Linked DNA regions of Lepisosteus oculatus. The protein of the gene in region 3 binds, or shares a complex with, the protein of the main gene of each other region. Links are inferred from orthologs where the notes say so. Each region holds a gene or a part of one and is shown on either strand. Other genes may lie near its edges.

What was found.
Region 1: pola2 (region 3) and prim1 share a complex: the UniProt entries of both Homo sapiens proteins name them as parts of the alpha DNA polymerase complex. The link is inferred for Lepisosteus oculatus from reciprocal best matches to the Homo sapiens genes POLA2 and PRIM1.
Region 2: pola2 (region 3) and prim2 share a complex: the UniProt entries of both Homo sapiens proteins name them as parts of the alpha DNA polymerase complex. The link is inferred for Lepisosteus oculatus from reciprocal best matches to the Homo sapiens genes POLA2 and PRIM2.

Annotation. Positions count from the first base shown.
Region 1 is NC_090696.1:20,929,287-20,939,947, reverse strand, and holds the start of prim1 (DNA primase small subunit), read left to right. Parts: upstream 1-6,143; 5' UTR 6,144-6,299; coding exon 6,300-6,420; intron 6,421-6,996; coding exon 6,997-7,154; intron 7,155-7,393; coding exon 7,394-7,500; intron 7,501-8,450; coding exon 8,451-8,524; intron 8,525-8,915; coding exon 8,916-9,052; intron 9,053-9,782; coding exon 9,783-9,841; intron 9,842-10,128; coding exon 10,129-10,240; intron 10,241-10,661. Other genes in the region: probable E3 ubiquitin-protein ligase DTX3, read right to left, coding at 1-236, 2,366-2,378. UniProt on the Homo sapiens protein: Catalytic subunit of the DNA primase complex and component of the DNA polymerase alpha complex (also known as the alpha DNA polymerase-primase complex - primosome/replisome) which play an essential role in the initiation of DNA synthesis.
Region 2 is NC_090712.1:19,997,674-20,007,836, forward strand, and holds the start of prim2 (DNA primase large subunit), read left to right. Parts: upstream 1-5,124; 5' UTR 5,125-5,232; intron 5,233-5,729; 5' UTR 5,730-5,737; coding exon 5,738-5,885; intron 5,886-6,432; coding exon 6,433-6,545; intron 6,546-8,123; coding exon 8,124-8,218; intron 8,219-9,142; coding exon 9,143-9,263; intron 9,264-10,163. UniProt on the Homo sapiens protein: Regulatory subunit of the DNA primase complex and component of the DNA polymerase alpha complex (also known as the alpha DNA polymerase-primase complex) which play an essential role in the initiation of DNA synthesis.
Region 3 is NC_090713.1:19,518,597-19,528,379, forward strand, and holds the start of pola2 (DNA polymerase alpha subunit B), read left to right. Parts: upstream 1-3,855; 5' UTR 3,856-4,093; coding exon 4,094-4,181; intron 4,182-6,595; coding exon 6,596-6,720; intron 6,721-6,831; coding exon 6,832-6,926; intron 6,927-8,970; coding exon 8,971-9,028; intron 9,029-9,783. UniProt on the Homo sapiens protein: Accessory subunit of the DNA polymerase alpha complex (also known as the alpha DNA polymerase-primase complex) which plays an essential role in the initiation of DNA synthesis.

The DNA.
Region 1 (10,661 bases), on a different chromosome or scaffold from region 3:
CGGGGAGACCGGGGCGGGCCCCGAGCCCGGCCCCTCCCCGCCCGGGCTCCTCAGCTTGACCGTGCAGCAGCCCCCCCTCTCGGCGCGCCGCACCACGCCCGCGCTCAGCCCATGGCCGCTCTGAAACTCCGCCAGCCAGGGCTGGCCCGCCGCCGACAGGTAGTCCCACACGGCCTGAGACACCAGCACCTCGTCGCCGCCCCGCCCCGCTCTCACGCTCATCGCGGCCAAGGAGACTGCAGGGAAGCCAGAGAGGGAAGCGGTTACGAGGGCCAGTGCCACGCACATGTCTTCAGGGCTGGAGCCCAAGGAAAACGGAGCGGTTCAGGACCCCTCCACCAGCAGCCCCTCCAGACGAGACCCCTGCGGCACAGGCTGGACTCGACAGCCCACACATCGCCGGTCTGGGAATGGGTCGTGTCACTCAGCCCCTGGGACCGGGCTTCTCCAGACAGCGACACACAGATGATCTCTGCTGGGCCTGCACTGGGGTTAACCAGCCAGCCTTGAGCCATAGAGAGATGGTCGGCGCTGGGATTAACCAGACAGCATTGAACCATAGAGAGATGGTCGGCGCTGGGATTAACCAGACAGCATTGAACCATAGAGAGATGGTCGGCGCTGGGATTAACCAGACAGCATTGAGCCATAGAGAGCTGGTCAGTGTTGGGACCTAGGGAGCTGGTCAGTGCTGGGATTACCTGGTCAGTGTTGTGACCTAGAGCTGGTCAGTGATGGGATTAGCTGGTCAGTGTTGTGATCTTGAACTGGTCAGCGCAGGGATTAGATGGTCAGTGTTGTGATCTAGAGATGGTCAGCACTGGGATTAGCTGGTCAGTGTTGTGACCTAGAGCTGGTCAGTGCTGGGATTAGCTGGGCAGTGCAGGGATTAGCTGGTTAATTTAAAACAACTGGTTGAGTGTTAAAGCCCTTTGGCATGGCCAATACATACACTATACTTTAATAATTCATTATTAACCAGATCAAAGATTAAAACAGAATGAAGGAAATATCAAAGTCTAATTAATAAAAGTATGAATCCAATTACACGGTCACCTTGTCTAGGATTGAAAAGCCCCGAATAAACGCAATACAATGTGTTCAACACATGATTTTCGCAACACCGAATTCTGAATTAAAAAGGTTTCATTTCTGAGCATTTCAACGTGCGATTCGATAGGGCCGTTGAAATTCTGTTGCTAATTTTATTACTAATATTACTTAACAACAGGTGAAAAACAATATCTACAAATCCATAAACTGATTCGTGAATAGATTAAGAACTAAATCCTGTATGATTAACAGTGGAAACGGAGTTAAAGGGTTTGCAGTTTCCCCACAATTAAGTAACCCGAATGAAATTGAAAGTTATGTTCTCGCTTTTTTATCATTTCTTGTGCGCGAACCGGTCAAGAAAATGTTTGTTTTTTGTGTCACAGCAGTCATTAATGTTGGTTTTTGAACATCACTCATGTCCCTAAAGAATCAACCAACGAAACGAAAAATTAATGTGCCGTTTTCAGATAAATTCCCAGCGGAGCATCTTGCTTTCGCTCAATTCGTTCTAAAAAAGACTGAATTTTTAATACGTCGTGGGGGAAAAGAGGAGTAGATTTGTGTTGATGCTAATCACGCCGGAAAAAAAAAACTTTGCATTTTAAATCAACAGGACCGTAGTCGGGCGTTTGCGCCACGGAATAAAATAATATTTTCAGATTAAAACATAACCGCGGCGTCCCTGTTCGACCGGACACCCGAACCCAGAACGCTGGCTCTGGCGTTGTGAATGAAAAGGAGAAATAACCTTTTTTTCTCTCTCTCTCTCAGAGACCGTCGAGATAGTTTCCCTAATTTAGCCCCAACCCCGCCCCGCACAGCCAGCCCGTCCGGCCCGTCCGGCCGCGGCTCCGACCCGGCGCCCCGAACCCGCTCCTGCCGAACCGCACGCGCCTGATCCGTCACTTCGCGCCAGGCGCCCGCGAGGCAGAAAAAATACCGCTAACAGAGGAGTCGTTTCTTCCGATATATAATCATATATATATATGTGTGTGTGTGTCACATGACATGCTCCTCGTTGGGCTTCGGAGAGCAGCGGTGCCAACAGGCGCTCCAAGGACTCGGCGCAGCGCGGAAGGAGAAGCAGACAGGGATGGTCCTACACAAAGCTCACCTTGCTTGGGGATTATTATTTTCGTCATGACATCGACTGCTTTTATTTTTTTAAAGAATTTTATATTCGGTTCGAGCTCGGGTGACGACGGCGGTGTTTTTCTTCTTGTTGTGTGTGTGTGGTTTCCCCCTTTAAGTCTCCCTTACAATAATAAAGAAAAAACGAATCCCACAGACTGGGATGAATAAAACGTACCTTGTGATCCCATATATATAATCCTTTTGATCGGGGTTTTCTTCCTGTTAGCCAAGAGAAAATAAAAAAAACAAAGGTCATTAGCCAATTTAGAACGCTGTAATTTTGAGAAACTTTAAAGCCCCTCAACAACAAAGACAGACCCGAGGCAGGAACTGTCAAACAGGATTAAAAGGATCGCGCGGCACCCTCTCCTGCAATAAAAATGCAAATAAAATAGGCAATACAGTACATCAAACAAAAACAAGCACACACAAAAACACCTTCGCATTTAAACTTTTGTTTTCTGCAAAAAAACAACAACAAAGGCCTGTTGGAGCCAGTCGGTACATGAAGCCACCAGGTTTTACTGAAACAATTCTTATCGAGCACAAGCTCCAGCAGCCCCAGCAGAGAAGTACCGAATCGCTCACCTACGAGACTGCAGCGCCGACACCGGAAGAGAGCTGTGTATTGTCTTTTCCACGCAAAATGTAACTGAACCCCCGACTCGGGTTTTAGCGTCGCGTTTTCAGGTCTGACTTGCGTCTTTGCATCCCCGCGGAAGCCGACTCGACTGGACCTGCAGGCTTAAAGACCCGGGTTATAGATCGTCCCGCAAGTAAACACTGACACGGTGTCTAGCTGGAGTTGTCCGCGGTGCTCTGAAACCAGACCCCCCCCCCAGCCCACCTGGAGAATTCGATGTGGTTGTCCTTGAGCGAAATCATAACATCATAAAACGACCTAAAGATACACTATCAGTAGTCGCCACGCGTGAACACGGACGGCGATTCGGCTACGGGAAGCCACAAGACGCCGCAGGTCGCTCTCCAGCCCCCGCGATGAGGCTTCGACTTCTGTTTACTCCTGCGATCATGTTCGATTTGTTTATCTTTTTTTTTTTAAAGTCCACCCTCCATGACAGCAAAAAATAAATATATATCTGTGTACACAGTCGGCAGGAAGTTCGTCACCGGGCTCTCCAGGATTGGTCAGAGCTGACGGAGCGGTGCGGCGCCGCTGCGCGCCGGACCTGTGGCTGGAGGGCTGCGGGAGAGCGCACCTCCTCCGCCCGCTCTCCCCGCACAGCCTGACCCGCTTTCCACCGGGCACTCCCTGCGGCGGGGGACAAGCGCATCCCGAGGTCTGCGGTGCGCTGGATAAAAAAAAAGAGTTTCTGTTCCTCCCATCTTGCTGCTATAAGAGATGACTGTGCACTATTTCTCAACGAGCTTCGGCCGTTTGGGGGGAGAGAATCATTTCCACGTGCGGCAATAGCACTCATATTCCGGGGGAGTATTTCCTTAATTTCACTTTTTATTTTTCACAGTCAAGCGTTGTGATGGAAATGAATATTTTTCCCACGTGTTTGAAGCTCATCCATTACTCATTGGTCTAGTGTCTGACACTAACAGTGCTCATTGGTCTAGTGTCGGTCACTAACAGTGCAGACTGGTCCAGTGTCAGTCACTAACAGTGCTCATTGGTCCAGTGTCTGACACTAACAGTGCACACTGGTCCAGTCTCAGTCACTAACAGTGCACACTGGTCCAGTGTCAGTTACTAACAGTGCTCATTGGTCCAGTGTCTGACACTAACAGTGCTCATTGGTCCAGTGTCTGACACTAACAGTGCACACTGGTCCAGTGTCAGTTACTAACAGTGCTCATTGGTCTAGTGTCTGACACTAACAGTGCACACTGGTCCAGTGTCAGTCACTAACAGTGCAGACTGGTCCAGTGTCAGTCACTAACAGTGCTCATTGGTCCAGTGTCTGACACTAACAGCGCTCATTGGTCCAGTGTCAGTCACTAACAGTGCTCATTGGTCCAGTCTCAGTCACTAACAGTGCTCATTGGTCCAGTCTCAGTCACTAACAGTGCTCATTGGTCCAGTGTCTGACACCAACGGTGCTCATTGATCCAGTGTCTGGTCCAGTGTGTTTCCACTTTCTGTGTAAAGTGAAATTAAAGCTTTATTAAAGATGCTTTTAAGTGTAGTGGATCTTTGGATCGTGATACGGGACACTGCTGCAATAAACGCTGCCCTTTGGATGAGACATTCATTTGAGATCCTGACTAGTTAGTCATTACAGATTCTCGGGAGCTGTTCATAAGAGTAAGCTCTGTCAACCTTATAAACCAGATACGCATGAAGTATACTGATGGAAAAAAGAAATGCAACAGCTCCACCTCCACACTCTGGCCCTCCCGTCTGCGTGGAACAGGCTGAAGAGTGACTCATCCGTGAAGAGGACCTGATGCCACTGCTGACGAGTCCATCTGTCTGGCCCAAGCCAGTCGGGGGTGATGTCTAGGAGGTGTGAACGGAGGGCCTGTGACAGGTCGCCCTGCTCTAAGGCCAGCAGTGCGGAGCCTCACTGTCCTGTCACTGATGTGGGCATTGTGTCTGCCAGCAGTTTCAGCAGCAGTACGGGTGGCAGATCTGAACCGACCTCTCAGATGAACCGGTCTGATGTGTCGGTCCTGCTCTGGCGTGGTCACTCAAGGGCGACTGGATCTTGGACGGTCATCTGTCCTGTCGGTCTGCTGAAACCTCCTCTGCAGTTGGGACACAGTGGAGCGGTTTACTCCATAGTGTCTGGCAATGCTGGCACATGACATGCCTGCCTGCAGCATGCCAATGGCCCTCTCCCTTGCTTCTGGTGACATTCGAGGCAATATGGAATGCACAGAAAACTGACTGACTCTGTGGGTTTTTTCTTGTAGTGACCTAACCTTTGAATTAACCTTTTTAAAGGTGACCTGATCAGGCATCGTTCCACCTGGACTTCGTGGGTAAAAGTGCACCTAACGAGCTTTTGTGCGACTGGCAAGTTGCAAGGTCTCACTGTTCAAACTGTATTAATAATAATAATTGCTTACACTTATATAGCGCTTTTCTGGACACTCCACTCAAAGCACTTTACAGGTAATGGGGACTCCCCTCCACCACCACCAATGTGCAGCCCCACCTGGATGATAGCCATAGTGCGCCAGAACGCTCACCACACATCAGCTCTCAGTGGGGAGGAGAGCAGAGTGATGAAGCCAATTCATAGAGGGGGATTATTAGGAGGCCATGATTGGTAAGGGCCAATGGGAAATTTGGCCAGGACGCCGGGGTTACACCCCTACTCTTTTCGAGAAACACCCTGGGATTTTTAATGACCACAGAGAGTCAGGACCTCGGTTTTACATCTCATCCGAAGGACGGCGCCTGTTTACGGTATGGTGTCCCTGTCACTATACTTGGGCATTAGGACCCACACAGACCGCAGGGTGAGCGCCCCCTGGTGGCCCCACTAACACCTCTTCCAGCAGAAACCTTAGTTTTCCCAGGAGGTCTCCCATCCAGGTACTGACCAGGCTCACACCTGCTGAGCTTCAGTGGGCTGCCAGTTGTGAGTTGCAGGGTGATATGGCTGCTGGTATTGCTGGTCAGAGGGCTTAAAACAAATTTACCACTTTTTGTGAAAGATATAACTATAGTATACTCATTCCAGAAAATGCTGCGTTTATTTTTTCCATCAGTATAGATCCCCCCAGTCTTAATGTCAGGTGTTTGATCTGTTCTAGGCAGTGCCTTCTGACGTATTCAGTTATTTGTAATGTGGTAGCCAATCAAATATCAGCGTCCTGGCAGGAAGACATATTGGTACCGTGCGCCGCTTGTGGATTGTGGGAATTGTAGTTTAGAAATGATCTACTCGTAGCAATGAATATGTGAGACACTTGCTTAAAAAACTACATATCCCACCAACCCACGGAGATTGGTTGTGTTGTTGGGACGTCCTCCTCGATTCTTTCCCGCGCTGTTTTGTAAGTGTGCAGCTGTCACCGAAAGCGGAGAAGCGCGTTGTGGGGTTGTAATATTTTTAACGAGAGAGCGATCCAGTTTTGCTTTCTAAAAGCCCCTTGCCACAAACCCGCGCCTGTGTTTTTTTTCTGAAATGCTCAAATTAGCTTCGGCCAGTGAATATGACCCTGCCTCTCTCCCGGATTTGTTACCGCTGTACTACAGGCGCCTGTTCCCGTTCTCGCAGTACTACCGCTGGCTTAGCTACGGAGGCGGTGAGTTTCAAAGCCTCGGAGGAAATGTGCGAAGTCTGTCTGCGTTGTTTTAACTATAACTAAACTTTTGAGTTTTTAGACGTCGGTACCGACGCCAGCAAATGATGCGCAGTTTTCCATTTGCCCCGTCTCGGTGAAGTGCATGCTGTTCAGGAGGCAGTAGAGCGCATGAAATCTTTTTTTTTTCTGAGTACTTAAGCCTCACATAGTCGAAAATCGATATACGTAATGGAATGTCATTTATTGTGTTTTTTTTCCTCTTTTCACCATAGAATAAACCTTTACTTGTTCCTTGGCAGCCTACGCATGCTGAGGCAGCTCCCTACTTGAACTATGTCATTTATTACACCTGTGTGCTCACTAGCTCATAGATTTAGGAGGAAATGTGTGAGACGTGCACTGGAGTATGTCTAGCACGTTTCACATGTGAGGGCAATGGAGCGATCAAGTTGGACACATGCTTTATCTGGGCAAGGTTTGCATGTAACATGTGGCCGAAGTTTTGAATATTAAGGCAAAGTTTGCAAAAGCAAATAGATAAAATTCCTGCCTCTCTCTCTCTCTTTCTTCCGTCAGTGGTGAAGAGCTGCTTCCAGAACCGGGAGTTCTCCTTCACCCTGAAGGATGACATCTACGTGCGCTACCAGTCCTTCAGCAGCCAGGGCGAGCTGGAGAAGGAGATTCAGAAGATCAACCCCTACAAGATCGACATTGGCGCCGTCTTCAGCCACAGGGTTGGTCTGTCTGTTTCATGGGATCCTGGGGTTCTGACTGCCTCACCCGGCTCCCTGTGGCTGGTAGACTTACAGCAACCTCATTTTCAGCAAGATCATCAGTCTTCCAGCCCAGGTCTGAGCTGGTGATGTTGCCCAGATTTCCAGTAGCCCTGCAGACCAGCCGCCTGAGGGGGCAGTCGGTCCGTTTGAGTCAGTCTTGTCAGTGAGTTTGCTCTTGTCCCACTTTCTCTCTGCAGCCGAACCAGCACAACACGGTGAAGTCTGGGACCTTCCAGGCGCTGGAGAAGGAGCTGGTGTTCGACATTGACATGACGGACTATGACGATGTCCGGAGGTGCTGCAGGTATCCTGGAGAGGGAAGCCCTGCGGAGCTGGTGGGGGGGGGGTTGGGTGTGGGGGCCTGCTGACATGTTGGAGCTGCAGTCTTCCACTGTCTCTGTTCCCCAGGGCATATACACCTCCATAAACCCTCCCAAAAGGTCAGCTCTTCCAGGCTGAGGTGTGTGACGTGTTGTAGGAATTGTCGATTTCCAGTGCAGATGCGAGAGAGGGACGAACCCCACTGGCTTCCAGGTCACTCTGCCCAGTCAGCTGGGCAGTTTTTGAATCACTCTGCGCTCCGGTCCCTAACTCTGCTGCAAATCAGGACCAGTCCTCTGGCTCTGCTGGGATTTATTCCCAGTCACTCGGGGCTCAGAACTCAGCTCCAGTCCCTAACTCTGCTGCACAACAAGACCAGTCCTCTGGCTCTGCTGGGATTTATTCCCAGTCTCTCAGGGCTCAGAGCTCAGCTCCAGTCCCTAACTCTACCACACAACAAGACCAGTCCTCTGGCTCTGCTGGGATTTATTCCCAGTCTCTCAGGGCTCAGAGCTCAGCTCCAGTCCCTAACTCTGCTGCACAACAAGACCAGTCCTCTGACGCAGCAGAGCTGTACACTGTCTGGATTTCGGAGGGTCATTTCTGTAACTCAGTTAGCACCGTTACACCTGCACACCTACCAGAGAGACTCTCTTCCGCTAATGTCAGCAGGACTGAGAAAACCAGAGAAAGGTTACACAAAAAAACTGGGCAGTTTCTGAATCCTTCTTGAGTTCAGGACAGATGGGACAGGAAATCCCTGATCCCTTTGTCCCGAAACCCCATGCTGGCTTGGGACAGGCGCCAGGTATTCACCACTTTCCACCAGACGTTGGCGTCCGTGTCTGCTCCCCCCGGGGTCAGAGAGCGGGCCTTTCGGTAAATTCCACACCTGAACGAGAGTAAAGGCTTCCTCTCCCTGTTCTCCTGCAGTGCTGCTGACATCTGCTCCAAGTGCTGGACCCTGATGACCATCGCGATTCAGATCCTGGACAGAGCTCTGAGAGGTAGGGCGGAAGAAGACAGGTGGTCCGGGTTTTATAGGCCTGTATAGTTCTAAACCCGCCGAAGAGCTGGAGAAGAGGTTAATGGTTGGTTGGTGGGGGGGGCGGGGGTATTGAAATAATTAGTTATTTAAATCCAGCAAATTAAGAGTAAGGATGGGTCAGGGTGGGGACATTGTAAAAATAGACCCCCAAAATCTGCAAAATGTTCTGAGCGTGGATTGTGATTGAAAGATGTAGTTTATCAATATATTGGCACATTGCCTTGGCTACTGCTGTAGTCTTTGTTGTGGAGGTAAGAAGGACAGAAATCCCACCCCTTGAGCACCACTGTAGGAGTCTGCCATTCACTCTTCCGAAGTGTAACCAGACGGGCCCTGGTTTCTCTCCCCAGAGGACTTTGGGTTCAAGCACTGTTTGTGGGTGTACTCGGGCAGGCGAGGGGTGCACTGCTGGGTGTGCGACGAGGCAGCCAGGAAGCTCTCGGCGACGGCCCGCTCAGCAGTGGCTGAGTACCTCAGTCTTGTGAAGGTGAGGTGGGCGGGGCAGAAGGCGGGGGGGTCGGGGGTCGGGGGTCGGAGGGGGGTGAACCAGGAGGATGACCTTGACTTCAGTCGTCAAGATCTTCCGGGGAGTGGACTTCCACCCTCAGCGCACTTCAGGATAAACACCGAGAGGTCAATCGGAAGAAATGGCGGATAAGAAACTCCTTACATTGACTAGAGGAGTTAAAATAATTCTAGTTCCTTCCATTCATGTGGAGCTTCTCATGGAAAAGTATCTCAGAGTACTTTTCGTATCGCAGGAGGCTCTTTATCCAGCACTGAAGGGCGCCTGCTGCTTCAGGTGGACTTGGCGGGGGGGTTGGGGAGACCAGACTGTACAGCTCAGACTGGAATTGAGCCAGGATACTGGGGTTGACACCCCTACTCTTGTAAACAGTGTACTAGGGTCTTTAGTAACCAAGTACCCAGGATCTCAGTTTAACATGTCACCTGAAGGACAATTCCTTCAGCTCTGTCCCTAGTCTCTCTACTGGGTGTTTGGTTTGGAGTTTCTGGGCCAGTGTGGAAGTGCGCCCCCTACTGGTGCACCAACGTCACTTATAGCAACAACCTAGTCTTCCTTGAAGACAACTTATGCAAATACAGGAAGAATATACATATTTAGGCTGAATTTGTTAATTCTATCAATATATGAACTATATTCCCTTCAATATTCTGTTGTGAGTAAAGGTGTGCTTCTCTCTGCTTTCTGACAGGGTGGTGAGGACACAATCAAAAAAGTGCAACTGCCTGATCTCATTCATCCCTTTGTCATGTAAGAAAAACTCCCTTTTCTTAAGACTGAGCCATTTTGGTGTGTGAATCTTGGACTTATGCTTTTTCCACATCCTGTTTGTGTGGTAGGGCAGGTTCTTCATCGAATAATTCCTTCGTTTTGATCATTGCATCTTCAAAAAGTACTTATTCAATTAGCAGTTGACACCCTCAGCAGACAAGTGTAACAAGAGTCATCTGATCATGAGGGTTACAATGTTAACTTGCTTGTGTTAATCGCTTGGCTTTAAAAAAGAATGAGAGTGTCTGACTCTGTCTTTTCTGCAGGGAATCGCTGAATGTGATCTCGCGCTACTTTGTGGACTATGCTGTGGTCAAACAAGACATCCTGGGCAGCAAAGAGTCTGTCGACAAAGTGCTGGCCCTTGTGCCAGAAGATATCCTTTCCAAAAACAGCTGCCTGTCTATTCCCCCTTTTCATAGATCAAAGATGTTGCTGCACTAGAATCAGTCCATTAAAGAACAACTGAATATATTCTGCACTGATACAAATGTATCAGTCTGAAGGGGGTGTCCTGCACTAACAGGCAGGAGGAACTGAGTCTCTTTAGTCTGAAGGGAGTGTCCTACACTAATATTCTGAATTAATGTCTTTAGACTTGAACAGAAGGTGAAACACTGAGTAGAGATCACAAGTGGACACCAAGGGGGAAGTCCATTTAAAACTGAGAAAAGGAGGCACATCTTTTCACAAAGGGTGGTGGGAGAGTGGAACAAGCCACCCAGCTATGCTATTGATGATGATGCCTTGGCTACCAAACAAGCTTGATGGGATGAGTGGCCTGCTGTTAATCTCCTCG
Region 2 (10,163 bases), on a different chromosome or scaffold from region 3:
CGAGTTTTGCTCAGAATGCCAAATCACGTGGGTTTTTGGCTGCGGTGCATCGCAAGCACAGAGGATGCAGTCCCCTGTGCGTTTACACTATCTGTGCACACAATGTTACCTCCAGCTTATTGCAGGTTATACTTGCAGTTTCTCCAATGAACCAAACATCAAAATATTCTCTGCCTCTTTTAACCATCTCTGTTTTAAAATCTTCAGCATTTCACATGCTAAAAAGACTGACTTCACACCTCTTGCCAAATTGTGGTATTTCACTCCATTTTAATATCGCTGTTTTTTATTCATATTTCCAGTGCATTTGATATCCGAATTTAAAAATCTTAATTAACTCCATTAGACCTCAATCTTGTATTTGTTTAAGCCATCAGTATAAATACCTGAAAGTACAACTTCTGTCACATATACAGCCCTAAAGTGATATTTTATACTGTTCCTTGGAGTACCATCTACAAGGGGACGATTACAAATTAGTGACAAAAATACTTCTAACAGCTGTGGGTGATGCAGCCAAAGCTGTTTCTGTGTTATTCGCTGTGTAATTGCTTAAATATGGGGCGTGTTCATTACACAGGGAATATGTATGCCAAGATGGCAGGGTTCTTTGTCTCCAAAGAGAGACTGAGCAGGAATACTGGTGTTAGAGGCAGTTGCTATGGTAACTCTCGCTAGTGGGGAAAGCCCGTGTTACAGTGAATATCACTTTTCCCCAGCCAGGGAGTCTGGGAGTTTGTGTCTGTGTCCTTATTCCACTGGAAAAAAGTATAATTGCTTAACAGCACCAAAGTATCAGAAGTAAAAAAAAAAGTAACCATCCTTAAAATTCTACCCCTGAAAATCTGCTATTAACCTGAATTACAAACCAGTTACTTTTATCCGATGCACTATTTTTCACACACCTAGTTACAGTCACAATGTTCTTAGAATCCTAGAACAACTCTAGGATCAAGTGTTAAAAATGAGAAATTCTGATTTAAAACTGGTTTTAGATTCACTTAACTGTGCTAAACTACTAGATGCATCCTACTCATCTGATCTAGAGCAAATCGCAATAAACACAGATGACTCAGATTACTTGCATCTTTATTATTTTCAAACTCAACTGCAAGTATCAATATCTGCACTGTTAATTCCAAAACCTCGGGTTCAGCTTCAGAAGCAGCCGTTTCTCAAAATGGTCACTGTCCAGTCTTGCTCCCCTTGGGCTCAGCAAGACTGCAGTAACACTGTTGAGCCTCTCACAGGCAGCCCGGGCAGGTAGAGAGGTGGGGACCTGATGGACACCTCTTCGACTATGGAAAAGGACCTCAGAAGATCCATGTGGAAGATCCAGCCTTCAATCTCTCTGGCACTTGCTTGGGAGACTTCATAGAAGTGAAAAAATACTCTTTACGGGAGGAGCTGATCTGCAGCACAAGGGGGTTCAGCAAGATCTCCATCTGCTTCCTGAGGTAGCCCGACCTGTATCATGCAATGAACAGTTTATCCATCCTTTCATTTTTAACCGCTTCATCCAATTCAGAGTCACAGGGGAGCTGGAGCCTATCCCAGCAAGCAGCAAGTCCAAGGTGGGATACACTCTGGATGGGACACCAATCCATCGCTTGGCAGACAGACACACACAGAATCTCATGCACTCGTACCAGGGTCCAAGCCAATTAACCTATCAGTATGTTTTTGGGCTGTGGGAGGAAATTCACACAAACATGGGGAGAACGTACAAACTCCACACAGACAGCACCCCAAGTCTCACACTGAACCCAGGGCCCAGCGCTGCAAGGCACAAATGCTGACTACTGCGCGACTGTGCCAACATCCGTTTATTTTCTTACAGAAAATGAACACGCTGCTGATGCCACACAAATGTGACATTAAGAATTATATGAAATGTAAATAACTTAATTAGAAAATTATTGAATGCCATTAGATAATCAGCATTCAAATCTAGCAGATACATTTCCATAAATGCCCAAAGGAATGTTAACTGTGATCAAATTTTAAACTATCTGCACATAAAGTTGCTTTGCTCATTAAAATTAGGGCCATAATAAACATGTAATAAATTAGGAATCTATGTTCAAATGCATTAATATTTGGATAGCAGTTAAATGTTCAAAAAACAAGTACCAGCTTAAGCTGATACAGCCAGGGGATGGGGGTGATGAGAACAAATTCATAGAGGGGGATTATGGTAGCCATTAATGTAGCCAATTCATAGAGGGGGATTATTAGGAGGCATAGGAAATTTGGGCAGGACGCCGGGGTTACACCCCTACTCTTTTCGAGAAACACCTTGGGATTTTTAATGACCACAGAGAGTCAGGACCTCCGTTTTACATCTCATCCGAAAGACGGAGAGCCAGCATCACTGACTGTGCTAATTAAAGAGAGACTCCGTCTCCTTTTCTGATGAATGAATTGTTCTCGGTCCAAGCAAGGTTTTGGTTTTAAACTTTGGCAGGAAGATATCACCGGAGATTAACTCCGGATTCTTAATGCCCCATTGAAGAGCCTTTACCAGTGGGCTCCAGAGTTAAGAGGGAAGTTTGATCATCTGAGGTTTGATTCCAACAGATACAGTATGGACCGCAGCCGCCTGAACTGTGTGTTGGCCTCAGCTTGAAGAATTTTCAGGGCTTTTCCAGCTGGGTCCTTGCGAGTAGCATACTCAGCCAGGATGGCCATCTCTGCTGGATGTAATCTCTAAACAAAGGTTATGAACATATGGACAAAAGAAAGAAACTATATTCACAGAAACCTTGATCTTCTAACCTGATCACATTGTTGTAAATATTTTCACTGGATGAACAGAATGATTAACTTTGGATGAACACAGTATAATTTTAGTTATAAACAGTATAAGATTAGCTAAGGTTTCGATATGGACAATCTCAGCTCCTAGAAATGGATAATTGGAAATGGCCAAGTAAAAAGAAAAAAATCAGCATTAATTGTTTCCTAGAGGCTTACTGTATTGTAAGACCACATGTGGTGATTAAGCAACATCAACTTAATAAAGGTTTTGGTACTCAGATTCCGTTGATATTATTGCTGGTACAGCAGTTTTTAAACTACAATCCATGTGCATTGTGATATTAATGCAAAAAAGCCCACGTCTGAATTACTGGAATATCTTAACACTAACCTACTTACATGTATACAGCATACTATAAAAATGGTATTTCTCATTACATAGAAAATACAGTCTTACGCCGCGAGGAGGTTTGAAGAAAATAATAAAGAAAAAGTACAAGACAACCACGCGTAGGCCTGTTAAATCTGTTCCTTGCACTTGGGGAATTTATTTCCGTTTTTATTGAGGAAGACTATGGGATTCACATTCTCAGATTCCGGAGAAATGCTGTTAGTTAACTGCGTTTGTCGCGGAAGTCATCACACATTCTGGGAGACTTTATAATCCTGTTTCTTTTATGAATGACGAAGGATTATAGGGGAAGGTATCAATCCTTGTAGAGTTAGCTTCGGGAACTCAGACAACTGAATTGAAACCTAACCAAATGTAGCTTGCTACAGAAATCAAATCGTTTAATAGAGAAAAGAATCGTGTGCATACCATCACGTGTCTTTAAACTCACGTGGAGGTGATATACGCCTCACTTCCACAGCCCTAGGGAAGCAGAATGTCCTCTGCTGTTTTTGAGATCAACAGATCTTTCAGGTAAGGTCACGAATGAACCACACACGCTACCCTCCATCTTCAACCCGAGTCACAAGTAATTCTTCCGTGTTCTCTTTAGCGCTAAGGATCTGCTTGTTGATTGGCTGTTGTAAAAATCAATACGGTGTCCGATTGGGCAGCCGAACAGGACGTCACTACGCATGCGACTGTGCTTTACCCAATCAGAGCCCCGCACTGGGGTCGTTTTAATCCTCCTCCTTTCCGCTGGTGCCACTACATAATAAACTAATTTCTAATACGTAATAGGTTTATTCCATGCTGAAAAAAAGAAGAAAGAGAACACAAGGTTTCGGCCGTGGAGCCTTCTTCAGGTGTCCTTCAGGTGACACCTGAAGAAGGCTCCACGGCCGAAACGTTGTGTTCTCTTTCTTCTTTTTTTCAGCATGGAATAAACCTATTACTTGTTCCTTTGCAGCCTACGCATGCTGACGCAGCTACCCACCTGAACTACTAATTTCTAATACAGTGCAATACATTTGTAAGTACTGTTATAAGCTAGAGCCACCTGAGAAACAGCTTTAATTGATGGTAGGCTAAAAAATAATGTGTTCGAGCCTTCATCATTATCAGCTGTTTTTACAATTTACAAATCAGGACATCGTTTATTAATCGATACGTGCTCTGTGCACTGTCTTGGTTCGGTACATCACTCTCTCCGGGGAATGGAGAAGGGAAAAAGACGAATTTCTAGTCTATGTCCAGTCACGGTACCCCGTAGAAATCTGTACCCTCCTCCAAAATGCACACGGTATAGCTGGAAATTCGGTGTTTATGTCTACATTGAAAAGTGAGATTTTTTCTCCCGTAAGGCTAAAGGCGCAACAATGTAAGACACTGTTAGTACGTCTAAGACACAATAAAAATTATTAAAGAATGGGTTGTTACAGTACGAAAAAAACATGCTAACTTCAGGCTGTTAAAACAAGCTTCGTATTTATCACTCACTATCTTGAGTATCTGTGCAAAAATAAGACACCTCGTGTCTTGTGAAATAAAATCCCTTCTTTTGTGATGTTACTTCAAATACCCTCATTGCCAGCGTCGCCAGTCACGGGGCAGTGGAAATCTAAAACACCATATCAACAGATAACACCATTTTATCACAGAGTTTTCACAGTAACAAATCCAACTTGAAGTTTAAGGCAGACATAAAGACGGTTTACGACGTCTAGACACTGAAATGCGCGCCTTCTTCAAGCCAGAACGGTAACAACCTCACATCTGTTTCTATTTCAGAGTTTCTTGATACCAGTTTGATCACTTCAATTGAAAAAGCAGTCACAAAAAGCAACGTCTTTAACGCCACCAAAAAAAGCAACTCCAACTCCAAAACACACTTGTCAAAGTTCAGTCACGTGTTTCTTTAGCGCGACACAGTCACACTTCCGGAGGCGGGTTCTTGGGCACGACCGCTGTGATTGGCTTGTTCAGATGATGGCGTCACTTACGCGCGCTTTGGGGGAGCTGCTAGTTGGCGGTAGTTGGAAGAGCAAGAGAGAGGAGAAACGATTTGGATAATTGCGGTTGTGAGTAGCAATATTTTATCACAATTGCGTAGTGACAAAACCACCTTGATATTATCCATTCTGCTTGTGTGTGGAGTCGGTTTGCATGGGGGTTCTCTTTATTGTCTTGCAAACTCCTGTTGCTTTTTCTTTTCGGAACCATGCCTTGTCGCGATTTATGAAGTCTTTCGATTGTAGCCACGCAACTAATTTTCAAGAATAACGAGTCCCGTGATTGCAGGGCAGGGATAACCCTTAGCTCTTTCACTACACTGCAGTGACATACACCGATTTTCAGGAGGATCGACTTACGTGTACAGGGCTACCCTGAAGCTACTGCTTCACGTTAGTTTTATTTCAGAAGCCTGACGGTGAAAACGAAGCTAGTATGTTGTTTACTTATCCCCTGCAGTGGGTATAAAAGGCAGCATTGTTAGTAATGTGTTAAACGCGATCCTCTCTCTGGGTATACGGTATATGTATATGGTAAATGTGTATGCGCATTTTTTCTTCTTCAGAAATCAACATGGAGTTCAGTCGTAAAAAACACAAGAAGGTGACAGGAGACTACCAGGCAGAGCTCTACGGACACTGTCTTCAGTTCTACAGTCAACCGCCGCTTGAAAACATCCCCCTCTCCGAGTTTGAGACCTTTGCCATTGAAAGGCTGAAACGTAAAAACACAACGTTGTCCATTTGTTTTAAGTCATAAAGTCAAAAGATGACGGCGTTGTAGCAATGACCAATGCGTGTCTTTCTGTGCTGAATGCGGAGGACAAGTATATCTGGGGAACAACCCCAGATATAGTGCGGTGAAGAAGGTTGCCGCCTCCGAGCTGATATAGTAACTGAAATAAGTGCTGACGAAAAAATACATTTTTGGTTACATTAAATGAAAATTATTTCATATTTACAACTGAGCTTGCTTTATAGAAAACGCTGTATTGGTTTTAACTGTACCGACTCCTTTTGAAGTAGTTTTTGAGGGTGTCTGGAAAAGATGGGCAAAGATCTGGCAAAGGGCTTTCCTGTCCCAGGCTGAACCTGCGAGCTCTAGGGAGTGTTTCCCTGTCACACTGTGAGCCGTTGCTGTGGTTCACGGTTACATTACCAAGTGGTGCTTTTATAGACTGTAGATGTGAAGGACTCTGTGCTTTTTGTTACTTAAACTGCAAAAATTAGCTTTTTAAATTTCTCACCTCCCTCAAATTCTTTTTCCAGTTCTTAAGACTGTGGAAAACCTTGGAGTGAGCTATGTGAAAACATCTGATCTGTATATTAAGAAGCTGGACAGTGAGATTAAAACTCTGAACTTTCCATACAGGTCTGAAATGGTAGGTGCATTCTGATTGTTGTAGATGTTGTTTTGACTTGGTTAAATACTGTATACACCTCGAATACTGGCAGTGGAGGTTACTCGGGGAAAAATCAGTTGAAAGAAGTGTAAAATATGAAGTGCACAATGAGGCATTGTAAATGTACACTATGAACAGGAAGCTCCTATATGAAATGTAAAACCAGCATAAAATTTGTGTTTCTCAACCTTTTTCATCCCACAATACACCTCAGTTTGGCACAGTGCCCCTCTCCCAGCACATGCACATGCACACACACCAGGGTCAATTTCCCCAAAAGCCAGTTAATCTACCAGTATGTCTTTGGACTGTGTGAGAAACGTGAGAACTCAGAGGAAACAGGAAACCCCATGTGTACACAAGGAGAACATACAAACTCCACACAGACAGCACCTCACATCTGGAATTGAACCCAGGGCTCCGGCACTACTGGACAGCAATGCTGACCACTGTGTCCCCTTAATATTTAAATAATTTTGAATACTTTGGTTTTTCTCCTGTGGGACTTTTCGGCAGTCCTGTGGACCACTGGTGCAGGGGAGTGAGACTGTGCTCAGAGGACCTTTTTTTAATGCAGCGGTGCGCTGTGTCCCAGTCAAATTATTCAGCAGCATGGGAGAAGCACTCCTCAAGGTTTCATCTTCTTCAAGCCAAGTTAAAAGATGAGCATGCAGTGTTAGTGTTCGACTGGAAGTGCAGTATTTTGTGGTTACCCCCTGGGACAGTAAGACACTGCGGTCTTCTTGGTTTCTGATAGTGTGGGTTCAGTCAGCTGCACCTGGGTGCCACAGGGAAGAAGACAGAGGGGTTCATTAGGAAGTGCATAATTAGCTGTCTGAAGTCTTTAATTTGCATGTTAAATTAACAGATGTTTTATGTTGGCCAGAATAGTCTTTTCCTGCAACTTAAATTAATGATCAGGCTAATTTATTTTAAGGAGTTTTACGAAGCATTTAATTATTCATAGCTTTTGAATTGGAAAAAATGAGCTAAGTTTATTTAAAACTGTCTCATTGTAAGCTGTGCTGTGTGCCTGGAATTGTTACGCATTTAATAACTTATCTGGACTTGCATAGGGGTTGCATGGTTATGGAATTCAGTGCACATATATTAAAATATTGAGATAATCTTCAAATTTATTTCAGAAATACAGTAGTTAAAACATCTTTGGGAAACTGGAATTTGGAGACCCCTTGTGCTTCAAAATGGAACTGCATGGTGCTGTCTCTTCACTCTGGGTGCTCTGTTTTGTGCTTGATGTCCATGTGCCAAATGCCTTTCCATATTATGCACTTCGGTGGTTTAAATAAAAAAATTAAGGAAAGCTTTTGTGCAGCATAAAACAAGCACAAAATAAACATTTATGTATGTTTTAATGCCACAGTTCATGGGGAGAGTCAAAGAGTAATTTGAAGCAAACACTTACTGTACTTATTTCTGGTTTAACTAGGTGCAGTGGTGACCTATATATCTTTTTGAAACGTTTGTCGAATCCTTGAGAAAGATTTGCTATTTTTAAGCCCACATTAATATTCCAATGCTTTCTGACTTATCCAGGAAGAGAAGAAGCCACAAACTGGGCCTTCAGAGTATGAAAAGAGAAGAAAGGACCACATTTCTCACTTCATTCTTCGCCTTGCATACTGCCAGACGTAAGTGTCTCTGCTCAGTGTGCATGAAAACACCTGCCCTCCTGTTGAAAGGAAAACTGCTCATACAACTTGTATAGGGTTTTTTTTAAAGTAAAAAAGGAATGTCACTAATCACAAGCCTTTAAAGCTTTTGTTAATAGCTTTTATGAACCTTACTGAAGGTGCTTCCTTACACATAGGTTTGTGGGAGTATGGTGCAAGCTTCCCAGACCTATGTTGAAGGTGATTGCTTAGCTTCTTTAAAGAACAGGTATCGAAGATCCAGAGCTCCATTGGCTGCTTGCAACCAAATGAGCTGGATAGCCCTAATGGCCTCATTTCTGTTTGTAACTGCTCTTCCAGTAAGATAAGATAAGATTACTTTATTGGCCATATACCATTTCTTGCATTAAGAATTTGTCTTTTCACAGAGCCCAACTTGCTCTCCATGGGATACACAGACAGGGAGAGAAGCTTGGGGTCAGAACGCAGGGTTGACCGTTTAAATGGCGCCCCTGGAGCTGCTGGGGTAAAGGGCCTTGCTCAGGGCATATGCGTGCATTGTGGTATATACTGTAGGCAATAAGAAAAAGTTGTTTTAAACACTTTTGGTTCAACACAATTTGAAACCAGCAACCAGAAACCACAATGAATTTACACTTCATGTAATCAGTCATATATGGATGAATTAATATTCTGAAGGATGAGGATGTCTAATAACGAGCGCAAGTGGCCATGTGCTGACCTGCTCCTTGGCATCTCTTGGGCTCAAGTCTGCAGTTCCGTCCTGCCAGTTTCCTCCTGGGTTCACATGGTGTCTCAGTGCCCTTGGTGAGCCTGCACAGCAGCGAATTGTCTGTGTACCCACGCACGAGCAGAGGTGTTCAGGGACCGGTCGTGTCCTAGTAGGATATGTCCTGATAAAAATGATTCCTCCGTTTCCAGGGAAGACCTGAGGCGCTGGTTTATACAGCAGGAGATGGACTTGTTTCGACATCGGTTTAACGTCCTTCACCCAAAATACAAAAATGATTTTCTGCGGCACAACAATTTAAAGTATGAAAAGGTAAGTTATTGGTTTCTTTCTTCTTCTGATGGGAGCCTCATCCGCTTAGACTTCAGGGGCTGCTTTGTCTTGGAGAGTCTCGTGAGCTGCCCTCTCGGGTGGGTGGGTGGGTCACCTGGTCTAGCATCTCTTCTAACAGGGTGTGGTTGGAAGGATTGACCTTTTAAAGCCCGTTAAAATCCATAGAGCACATCTGGGCGAAGAGAAGAGTTACTAGTGATCATGCAGGCCCTATAGAGGTATTGCAGCTTCAGCTTCTCTGCTGGCCAGCTTGTGCTTCTGAGTGAGCGGGCTGTAGACCTGTGGTCTCATAATTGAGAACCGGAAGCATGTCTTTAATGTTCTTGTTCATGTTCTTAATGCATTTTAAATCATTCGGATGACAAAATGTCAGCATATTGCTTGCTTATTGAGTTTTGTGAAGCCATTGATTATTTCTGCCATGTGCTTTGTGGTGATTATTAATCCTGGAAGTATCGAGCAAAAAGGAAGCAAGATCTGGTCTTAAAGCCAAATACAGCCATGAGATATTCTCCATCTTCATCTCTTAAGGTTTTCAAGGCTTTCTATGCCAAAAATTGACTGTTCTCGAAGGGTTATATGAACATCAGAAGGGGGAGCTCTAAGCCTGCTGAAAGTGCATTGTCAGTGTGTTACTTCAGATGTAGGGAGGCTTCAAAATAATTTGTCTCTTCTGGCATTTTATAATTCTAGAAACAGGAAATCTGGATATCTCTACTGTTCTCTATATTTACATTAGGTAAAAGCCTTGTCTCTAGATATTAATGTAATTGGACTGTCTTGTGGAGTGTATTTGAATTTTAAGGAGTTTTGGGTATAGATTTGTGCTAGACATTCGATACCACTGATATAAATCCAGACTGTTGTTTAATGCAAGCA
Region 3 (9,783 bases):
GGTGACACCCGTCGGGTGGATCAAGCAGTACTTCTTGCCTGCATTTTGTTTCCCGGTTTTACTCAACCTTGGCTCTCAGTTGTTTTTCAGGGAGGGCAGGGGAAACGGAAGGCGAGAGAGGAGAGGTGGCCTTTGCAGTGTCTTCTGTACCCTTATTGCATTTTATTGGCTAGCGGGATTGTGTTAGACATAGCGTTTCTCGTGTCTGCCACTGTAAAGAGGGGCGTTTCCCCCCGTCCCCCGTCCCCTCTCCTCCTCCGCTTCTGTAGCGTCTCCGAATTTCCTCCAAACCGCTCTGAAACTCTGGGAGGGGGTGGGAGGTGCGTGTTTGCACCCACTTAGGCAGATCCTCACCAGCGGGTGCTGTCGAGAGAGATAGCTGGCGCGACCTGCGGGCGCCTTTCCAAAACAGAGGGCGGCGGAGCACTGAATGTTTCAGCTTGCTACTGGATCTTACTGTTGTAGATTTTGAGTTCTTCTGTTTGTTATTTTGGGATTCCAGAATCGAAAGCGTTTTGTTTTTTGGCGGGGGGGGGGGTGGGTGGGTGGGTGAGTTGATTTTCTGCCGAATCATATTTGGAGCTTCCCTATGGGTTGTGTTTTTTGTTTTTGTGCGCGTTTGTTTTGTATCCACTAATAAAGCCACCTTCGGTTTCGGATTCTTTTCCGCCTCGATCTTCTGCCGTATGAGGTCAATAAAACTCCCTTTGGATTTATTTCACGATCATCTTGTCTCAATTTTTCCCACGTAGAAAACAGCGTTGTCTCAGGGCCTACTCCATTATGGGCAGTACGAGGTAATGGAGCAGAGTTTAATAGGCCATTATCATAGGATCCCCAATAAAGTGTCTGCCAGCGAGCGTTCCCTATAATCTATAAAATATAATCTAGAACCTTGGAAGGCCGCAGATCGCTTTCCCCAGAAGGGGTTAAAACCGGGACCCGGATTTCCGGTAGGGATCACGGTGCGGCACGGCGGCGTGGATGAGCTATTTCTTGAGCCGTACTTTGGGAGGACGCCGACACGGAGAGCCCGTTTTTTTTGGGGTGGCGTTTTAGCGCCTGCTGGGGAAAGCGTTTCCGAGGCCTTCCGAGGGAGGTCGGACTGAAGGAACTAGTTCCGACAGAACAGCCAAGAGGAATTGGGAAATTAGATTATAGACAAAGCTCATTGGCATACCCTTTAATTGGGGATCCTATTATAATGGCCTACTAAATAATTGGCGTACACTTTAATTGGGGATCCTATTATAATGGCCTATTAAATTATAGGCAGTGCTCATTGGCATACCCTTTAATTGGGGATCCTATTATAATGGCCTATTAAATTATAGGCAGTGCTCATTGGCATACCCTTTAATTGAGAATCCTAATATAATGGCCTATTAAATTATAGGCAGTGCTCATTGGCATTCCCTTTAATGGGGGATCCTATAATAATGGCCTATTAAATTATAGGCAACGCTCATTGGCATACCCTTTAATTGAGAATCCTATTATAATGGCCTATTAAATTATTGGCGTACACTTTAATGGGGGATCCTATTATAATGGCCTATTAAATTATAGGCAGTGCTTATTGGCATACCCTTTGATTTAACTATTAGAATGGCCTGTTGTAGTTCTTAAAGCCTAGATGTGGTTTTCTGCCAAGACACTCTTCACTTGTCCCGTAGGTGTCTTGCAGTGCTTCGAAGCTGTGTGAGCACACAGGGGAAGCTCTTTTGAGTGCCCATGGGGGTTAGTCTCCAGTCGTGGGAGCCCTCCGGTAATCTAGTGCAGGGTGCTAGTCTTCTACGCGCCCTAAGGGGGGGAGAGGGGGGCACTGGTCTCGGGCCAACAAGTCGATTGTACTTGTGAGCGTTTCGTGTCTTGTCTTCGGGGATAAGGTGGCATTCCTGAGGCTGGTGTGCCGGAGATCCGATATTTCCCCCCCCCCTCCTCCCATTCCACAGAGAGTTCTTCTCCTCCCAGTCTGGGGGCTGCGGTGTGGGCGTTGAGGGGGCCGCCAGCTCGGAGCACCTGTGAGGTCTCGTCTTGTTTCGGGGTTGTTTTTATTTTCTACGATGTAAATAAAATGTAGGAGAATTTCAAGCCCTGCGCACATCCTCGTTTTTCTGTACTTTTTGATTATATTTTTTAAATAAACCAAACTTCTTTGGCTGGGAAAACCGGTGTGGAGTGCGTTTTCTTTAAACACCTTTCTGCGTGTTGGCCTCTCTCTAACGGGCACGTTAACCTTCAGAAATCGGGTGCCTTTTTACCTAGTTCTCTGGGAAATGATGTTCCAGATTTGTGTCCAGTGTTGGTATCAAAATTTGTATTAATTAGTATTATTAATTAATTAAATATTTGAATTAACAATTAGCATTGTCAGTATTAATAGTATTAGTACTAATCATTAATACTATATATATAGTTCTTAAAGCACTTTTGAGTAAGATCATGAAATACACTGCTCCAGCACTGAGAGAGACAGAGAACAGGCAGGTGAGCCACTACAGACGTCATACTGTCTCCCCACTGCATCATGGGAAATACACTGCTCCAACACTGAGAGAGACAGAGAGAACAGACAGGTGAGCCACTACAGACGCCATACTGTCTCCCCACCACATCATGGGAAATACACTGCTCCAGCACTAAGAGAGGACAGACAGGTGAGCCACTACAGACGTCATACTGTCTCCCCACTGCATCATGGGAAATACACTGCTCCAACACCGAGAGAGAACAGACAGGTGAGCCACTACAGACGCCATACTGTCTCCCCACTGCATCATGGGAAATACACTGCTCCAGCACTGAGAGACAGAGAGAGGACAGACAGGTGAGCCACTACAGACGTCATACTGTCTCCCCACTGCATCATGGGAAATACACTGCTCCAGCACTGAGAGAGACAGAGAGAGAACAGACAGGTGAGCCACTACAGACGTCATACTGTCACCCCACTGAATCATGGGAAATACACTGCTCCAGCACTGAGAGATGGAGAGAGAACAGACAGGTGAGCCACTACAGACGCCATACTGTCTCCCCACTGCATCATGGGAAATACACTGGGAAATTGAGATGGGGAAAAAGATCATGAAGACAACTGATTATGAAATCAGCTCAGTTAAAAACAAGGGTTTAGAATGCAGTAGAAGAAGCAGGCACAGATGCCAATGACATAAAGTCCTTCTGATAACGGAGAAAGAATGGAGTCTGGATTTGAGGGAGTTTAGAGAAGGTGGCTGTGATATCCTTGGGGACAGAACTCCAGAGCTCTGGGGCGCAGCAGGAGAAGACCCTGTCGCCCCCAGAGTGTAGACGAGCTTGGGGGGGGACAGACAGGAGATCAGAGTCAGAGGAGTGAAGTCTGAGGGGTGGAGGTGATGGAGACACCATGAAAGTATTGCTGGGAGTCTTACGAATCTTAATCTTTAATCTTAATCTTACGAATAGTTTAGTAAAGAACTATTCTTAAAATGTATGCATACAATATTTTATTTAGTTAAATCTCCATTTGGCATCCTGGCCAAATTTCCCCCCTGGCCTTTTCCCATCATGGCCTCCTAATAACCCCCCTCTCTGAACTGGCTCCATCACTCTGCTCTCCTCCCCACTGAGAGCTGGTGTGTGGGGAGTGTCCAGAAAAGCCCTATATAAGTGTAAGCAATTATTATTATTATTATTGTTATTATGTTTTGTTAATGGTTAGAAAGCATTTAAAAAAAAACCGTACCTAAGCAATATGGCCGTTGGATTCGCCCACCGAGTCTTTTACCTATCTAGGCGTCTTATATCGATGGTCTGGGCCACGCCGGAAGCGCGGCGTTCTGATTGGTTGCTAGGGGAGGTTGTCGTAAAGCGTGACGACGCCGGCGGGAGATTCTCTTTTCGCGGCAAGAAAAAAAAGAGAGAGGACGGTGCAGCTGGGTTTGTAAGAAGGAGCATTGCAAAAAAAAACGATTCCAGAAACAGGCTGTAATTCGCAGACTCAGCGCAGGTCGTGAGCGGTCGCCTCCCTGCAAACGGCGCGGAGAATCGCCCCCGTCAGGGTCCGGATACTCGCAGCCGAGCTGGGCGCCCTGCAGCCGGGCGGAAGATGGCAGCCGTCACGGCCGAGAGCATCGACACGGAGCTGAAGACCTTCGATATCGACTGCGGCGAGGGATCGGCGGTGCTGGACAGACGTGAGCGATTCGTCTTCATTGCTGGGTCCAGTTATGGGGTGATCTTGCTAGATCGCTGCGCATTTTTGGGGGGGGGGGGGGTGTTTGACCTCTCACCCGCAGTTAAACCCCCCTCTCGTTGCTCGGGGTGCGGGGGAGTCGTTTTTTTAAAAAAAAATATTGATGCATAAGCAATCACAACGATTAGAATACAAGCAAGTCACATTTCAAGACAAAAACATCGCCGGTGGGGGGCACATAGGACCAAATAAATTCAAATTATAGAAAAAGTTGGAACACATAAAATAAAGATCACGTCCGCACCGCTTTCATGTTTTTTACATCCAGTTTTAAAAATGCTCAAGCAGAGGAGTCTTCCCAGACCGCTGCATTTTGTGTATGAAATAACGGGCCGTTATACGTTATTATAATTAAATTGATGACGGATGATGTTTTAGTATTGCTTCCGATGGGGCTGAAACTTAACATCGTTTTCTTTCAAACAAATGTCAGTATTGGGCTCTTTTTTTCATAGGAGTGTGCGACTCCGTCCAGAAAGTTTTTTTTTTCTCCATGGGACTGAGGCGCCCTCTGAGCGAGTGCCTGTGCCTGAAACAGGGACAGCTTTTCTCTTCGCCGTCCGACAGCATCGATGTCATAACTGGAAACTTCTGACTGAAAGCAATACTGCCAGCAATACATTAGGCTTCAGTCAGTTAAAAATATAGTGCTGGAGCAGTGTATTTCCCATGATGCAGTGGGGAGACAGTATGGCTTCTGTAGTGGCTCACCTATCTGTTCTCTCTCGGTGTTGGAGCAGTGTATTTCCCATGATGCAGTGGGGAGACAGTATGGTGTCTGTAGTGGCTCACCTGTCTGTTCTCTCTCAGTGCTGGAGCAGTGTATTTCCCATGATGCAGTGGGGAGACAGTATGGCGTCTGTAGTGGCTCACCTGCCTGTTCTCTTGTCTCTCTCAGTGCTGGAGCAGTGTATTTCCCATGATGCAGTGGGGAGACAGTATGGCTTCTGTAGTGGCTCACCTATCTGTTCTCTCTCGGTGTTGGAGCAGTGTATTTCCCATGATGCAGTGGGGAGACAGTATGGCTTCTGTAGTGGCTCACCTATCTGTTCTCTCTCGGTGTTGGAGCAGTGTATTTCCCATGATGCAGTGGGGAGACAGTATGGTGTCTGTAGTGGCTCACCTGTCTGTTCTCTCTCAGTGCTGGAGCAGTGTATTTCCCATGATGCAGTGGGGAGACAGTATGGTGTCTGTAGTGGCTCACCTGTCTGTTCTCTCTCAGTGCTGGAGCAGTGTATTTCCCATGATGCAGTGGGGAGACAGTATGGTGTCTGTAGTGGCTCACCTGTCTGTTCTCTCTCAGTGCTGGAGCAGTGTATTTCCCATGATGCAGTGGGGAGACAGTATGGTGTCTGTAGTGGCTCACCTGTCTGTTCTCTCTCAGTGCTGGAGCAGTGTATTTCCCATGATGCAGTGGGGAGACAGTATGGTGTCTGTAGTGGCTCACCTGTCTGTTCTCTCTCTGTCTCTCTCAGTGCTGGAGCAGTGTATTTCCCATGATGCAGTGGGGAGACAGTATGGCGTCTGTAGTGGCTCACCTGTCTGTTCTCTCTCAGTGCTGGAGCAGTGTATTTCCCATGATGCAGTGGGGAGACAGTATGGTGTCTGTAGTGGCTCACCTGTCTGTTCTCTCGGTCTCTCTCAGTGCTGGAGCAGTGTATTTCCCATGATGCAGTGGGGAGACATTATGGTGTCTGTAGTGGCTCACCTGTCTGTTCTCTCAGTCTCTCTCAGGGCTGGAGCAGTGTATTTCCCATGATGCAGTTGGGAGACAGAATGACGTCTGTAGTGGCTCACCTGTCTGTTCTCTCTCTGTCTCTCTCAGTGCTGGAGCAGTGTATTTCCCATGATGCAGTGGGGAGACAGTATGGCATCTGTAGTGGCTCACCTGTCTGTTCTCTCCAACTCTCTCAGTGCTGGAGCAGTGTATTTCCCATGATGCAGTGGGGAGACAGTATGGCGTCTGTAGTGGCTCACCTGTCTGTTCTCTCTCAGTGCTGGAGCAGTGTATTTCCCATGATGCAGTGGGGAGACAGTATGGCGTCTGTAGTGGCTCACCTGCCTGTTCTCTCTCTGTCTCTCTCAGTGCTGGAGCAGTGTATTTCCCATGATGCAGTGGGGAGACAGTTTGACGTCTGTAGTGGCTCATCTGCCTGTTCTCTCTGTCTCTCTCAGTGCTGGAGCAGTGTATTTCCCATGATGCAGTGGGGAGACAGTATGGCGTCTGTAGTGGCTCACCTGTCTGTTCTCTCTCTGTCTCTCTCAGTGCTGGAGCAGTGTATTTCCCATGATGCAGTGGGGAGACAGTATGGCGTCTGTAGTGGCTCATCTGCCTGTTCTCTCTGTCTCTCTCAGTGCTGGAGCAATGCATCTGTCACCGCCTGCAGGCGGACACTATCGTCCTGGAGTGGGTGGCCTTCAGCACGACCAAGAGCGGCCTGACCCTCAGCTTGGAGAACCTGGAAGTCTTCGAGCATGAGGTGAGCGGACCCCCGCCTGTGCGCGCTGTCGGCGAAGTCCACACCCCTTGAGGAGAGGGGAGAGGGCAGCTCCTGGGCGTGACGTGTGTCCGTTCTCTCCCTGCCTCCCAGGTGCTGAACAAGAGGACCTCCAAGTCGCGGCCCAGCCTGGCCAAGAAGGACCTGCGTCTGGACAAGCCCAGGGACTTGCACTCGCTGCAGGAGATGTATCCTTCCAGCCAGGCGGCAGCCTTTCTAGGGAGATCCGGGGTCTCCGGGTTAAATGATCCTTTCATTTGGCCAGCTGAATTGGTTATGGGGATTTGCCGAGTCATCAACAGTCTTGGATGGAGTTGGCTAGTTGAACAGGATTTATCAGAGTTTGCTGAGTCATCAGTAGGTTTGGATGGTGTTGGGCAGTTGAATGGGATTGGTCAGAATTTGCTGAGGGCCACCAGGCTATGCTTCATCATTTCAGTAGGTGGTTCGTATTTGAGCCAGAGCTCATCCAGTTTTCTAGGCAGGAAAATCCCAGGGCGTTTCTCGAGAAGAGTAGGGGTGTTACCCCGGTGTCCTGGCCAAATTTACCCCCCTGGCCTTTACCCATCATGGCCTCCTAATAACCCCCCTCTCTGAACTGGCTCCATCACTCTGCTCTCCTCCCCACTGAGAGCTGGGGTGTGGGGAGCGGACTGGCGCCTCATCCAGGTGGGGGTACACACTGCTGGGGGTGGAGGGGATCCCCATGACCTGTAAAGCGCTTTGAGTGGAGTGTCCAGAAAAGCGCTATAGAAGTGTAAGCAATTATTATTATTATACCAGTCAGATGCGGGGGCATCTAGGACAGCGAGCTCGTCCCTTTTCTCTCAGGAGAGTGAAGAACTAGTGCAGTTGGCCTGCGCCGCAGTCTTCCGGCGCTCAGTGTTCAAAGGGCAGCTGTAACGCTGTTTTTAGATTTCAGGGTTAGAAGGAGTCAGGGCTGATGATTGCCTCTCAAACCACAATGAAAGTCAGTTGGACACAGTGGCTTGTAAAACCTCCAGTTGACATCACAAACGAGAGGACGTTTCCAGGTCTGCGATTCAGAACGAGGCAGCAGGACTTCCGGTGAGGTGAAGCGGCCCTGTGACCCTGTGAACAAGTAGGCTTGTGAGTCCAGCTCTTCTGATCCAGTAGAAATACTGCTCTCCTCTTCCAGACGGTTTCACTGGCAAATACTACTCACTGGTGAACTCTGCCTGCGGATCACGCTGGAACATTTCTGTGGTGAAATGTCTGCTGCACAACCTGGACTTATTCACTCGTACATCTCAGTGCATTAGTCAGTACAGGGACTAGTGAGCAGGAAGGGCTGATTCACATCTCAGTACATTAGTCAGTACAGGGACTAGTGAGCAGGAAGGGCCGCTTCACATCTCAGGACATCAGTCAGTACAGGGACTAGTGAGCAGGAAGGGCCGCTTCACATCTCGGTACATCAGTCAGTACAGGGACTAGTGAGCAGGAAGGGCCGCTTCACATCTCGGTACATCAGTCAGTACAGGGACTAGTGAGCAGGAAGGGCCGCTTCGCATCTCAGTGCATTAGTCAGTACGGGGACTAGTGAGCAGGAAGGGCCGCTTCACGTCGCAGTTCTCATGAGCTCTCGCCAATGTGGCGACTTGCAGTACTTTCCCTAAATTCACGGTTTTGTGCTGCATTCGGAATTTGTCAACATGTTCTAGAACTCATTTTATTTTGTCACGAGAGAAAGTAACCGGTGTGAAAAACTGGGACTACGGTTCCCCTTGAGCGATCGAAAGGCGACAATTTCAGGATCCTCCCGGAAAATCACTCTGCCTCTGCCACTGGAGTCCAGGCAAAAATCTGTCGGGAGCAGAGGGACTGAGACACGCTATCACAGCCCCGGACAGAAAAACGCCCAGATAATGAAAACTGCTTGGGTGTGTTCCTCCCAGACAAGCGATCAGAGGGCAGAGTGGAGAAAAACACTGCATTTTATTTGGACTCGCGATTTTTTAAAAGATCTGTGCCTTTGAGTTTGGTGTCCGCCCCAAGCGGGAGGGGCTACTTTACCCCAAGAGTGGCGGGAGTCTTGAACAGATGAACGGATTGTCACTTTTTTGATCTTCCGGTCCGGTGACGAAGCTCCATCGCTGTTCCAGACACCCGCTACCCTTTACGTTGAGAGGGGAGTGTGTTTGTGCAAAGACCCGTTCCTGAGAGTTTGTGCAGGGCAAGATCTGCATTTTCTTTAACTTTGGATGCCAGGATCCAGGCAGAAGAAGAAGATGAAAGCCTCATGGATTATTATTCCACCCCAGCGAAGGTGAGAGTCCAGGCAAACATAGGGAGCACCCACGAGATTGTCATTGGTGTCGTTATTGATCCTTTGATTCAGGTGCCAACACCTGGATCCCGAACCGCATATTTGTCGTAAGGCATAGAAGGGACCGTTTATGTGTTGGTATCATTCTTTTCAGGCTACAGCATCTTTTCAAAACATTTTTCTAGCTGGTGCAGGACGTCAGTGTATTTGGAGGTGAAGTCTGCCTGTTCAGACACGCTCCATCTTTACATGAAGAGTAGAGGGTGTCTGGAACAAGCTGGACACACTGGAGCACATCTGTATTGCAGAACACACGTGTATGTCAGGGCTCTGAGAACTATCTGACCGAGTGTGTGTGTGTGTTTCAGGACTCTCAGGACTATCTGACCGAGTGTGTGTGTGTGTGTGTGTGTGTGTGTTTTAGGACTCTCAGGACTATCTGACAGAGTGTGTGTGTGTTTCAGGACTTTGTGAGTGTGTGTGTTTTAGGGCTCTCAGGACTATGTGTGTGTGTGTGTGTGTGTGTGTGTGTGTGTTTCAGGGCTCTCAGGACTGTCTGACTGTGTGTGTGTGTGTGTGTGTCAGGGCTCTCAGGACTGTCTGACCGTGTGTGTGTGTCAGGGCTCTCAGGACTGTCTGACCGTGTGTGTGTGTGTGTCATGGCTCTCAGGACTGTCTGACCGAGTGTGTGTGTGTGTGTGTGTGTGTTTCAAGGCTCTCGGGACTATCTGACCGTGTGTGTGTGTGTGTGTGTG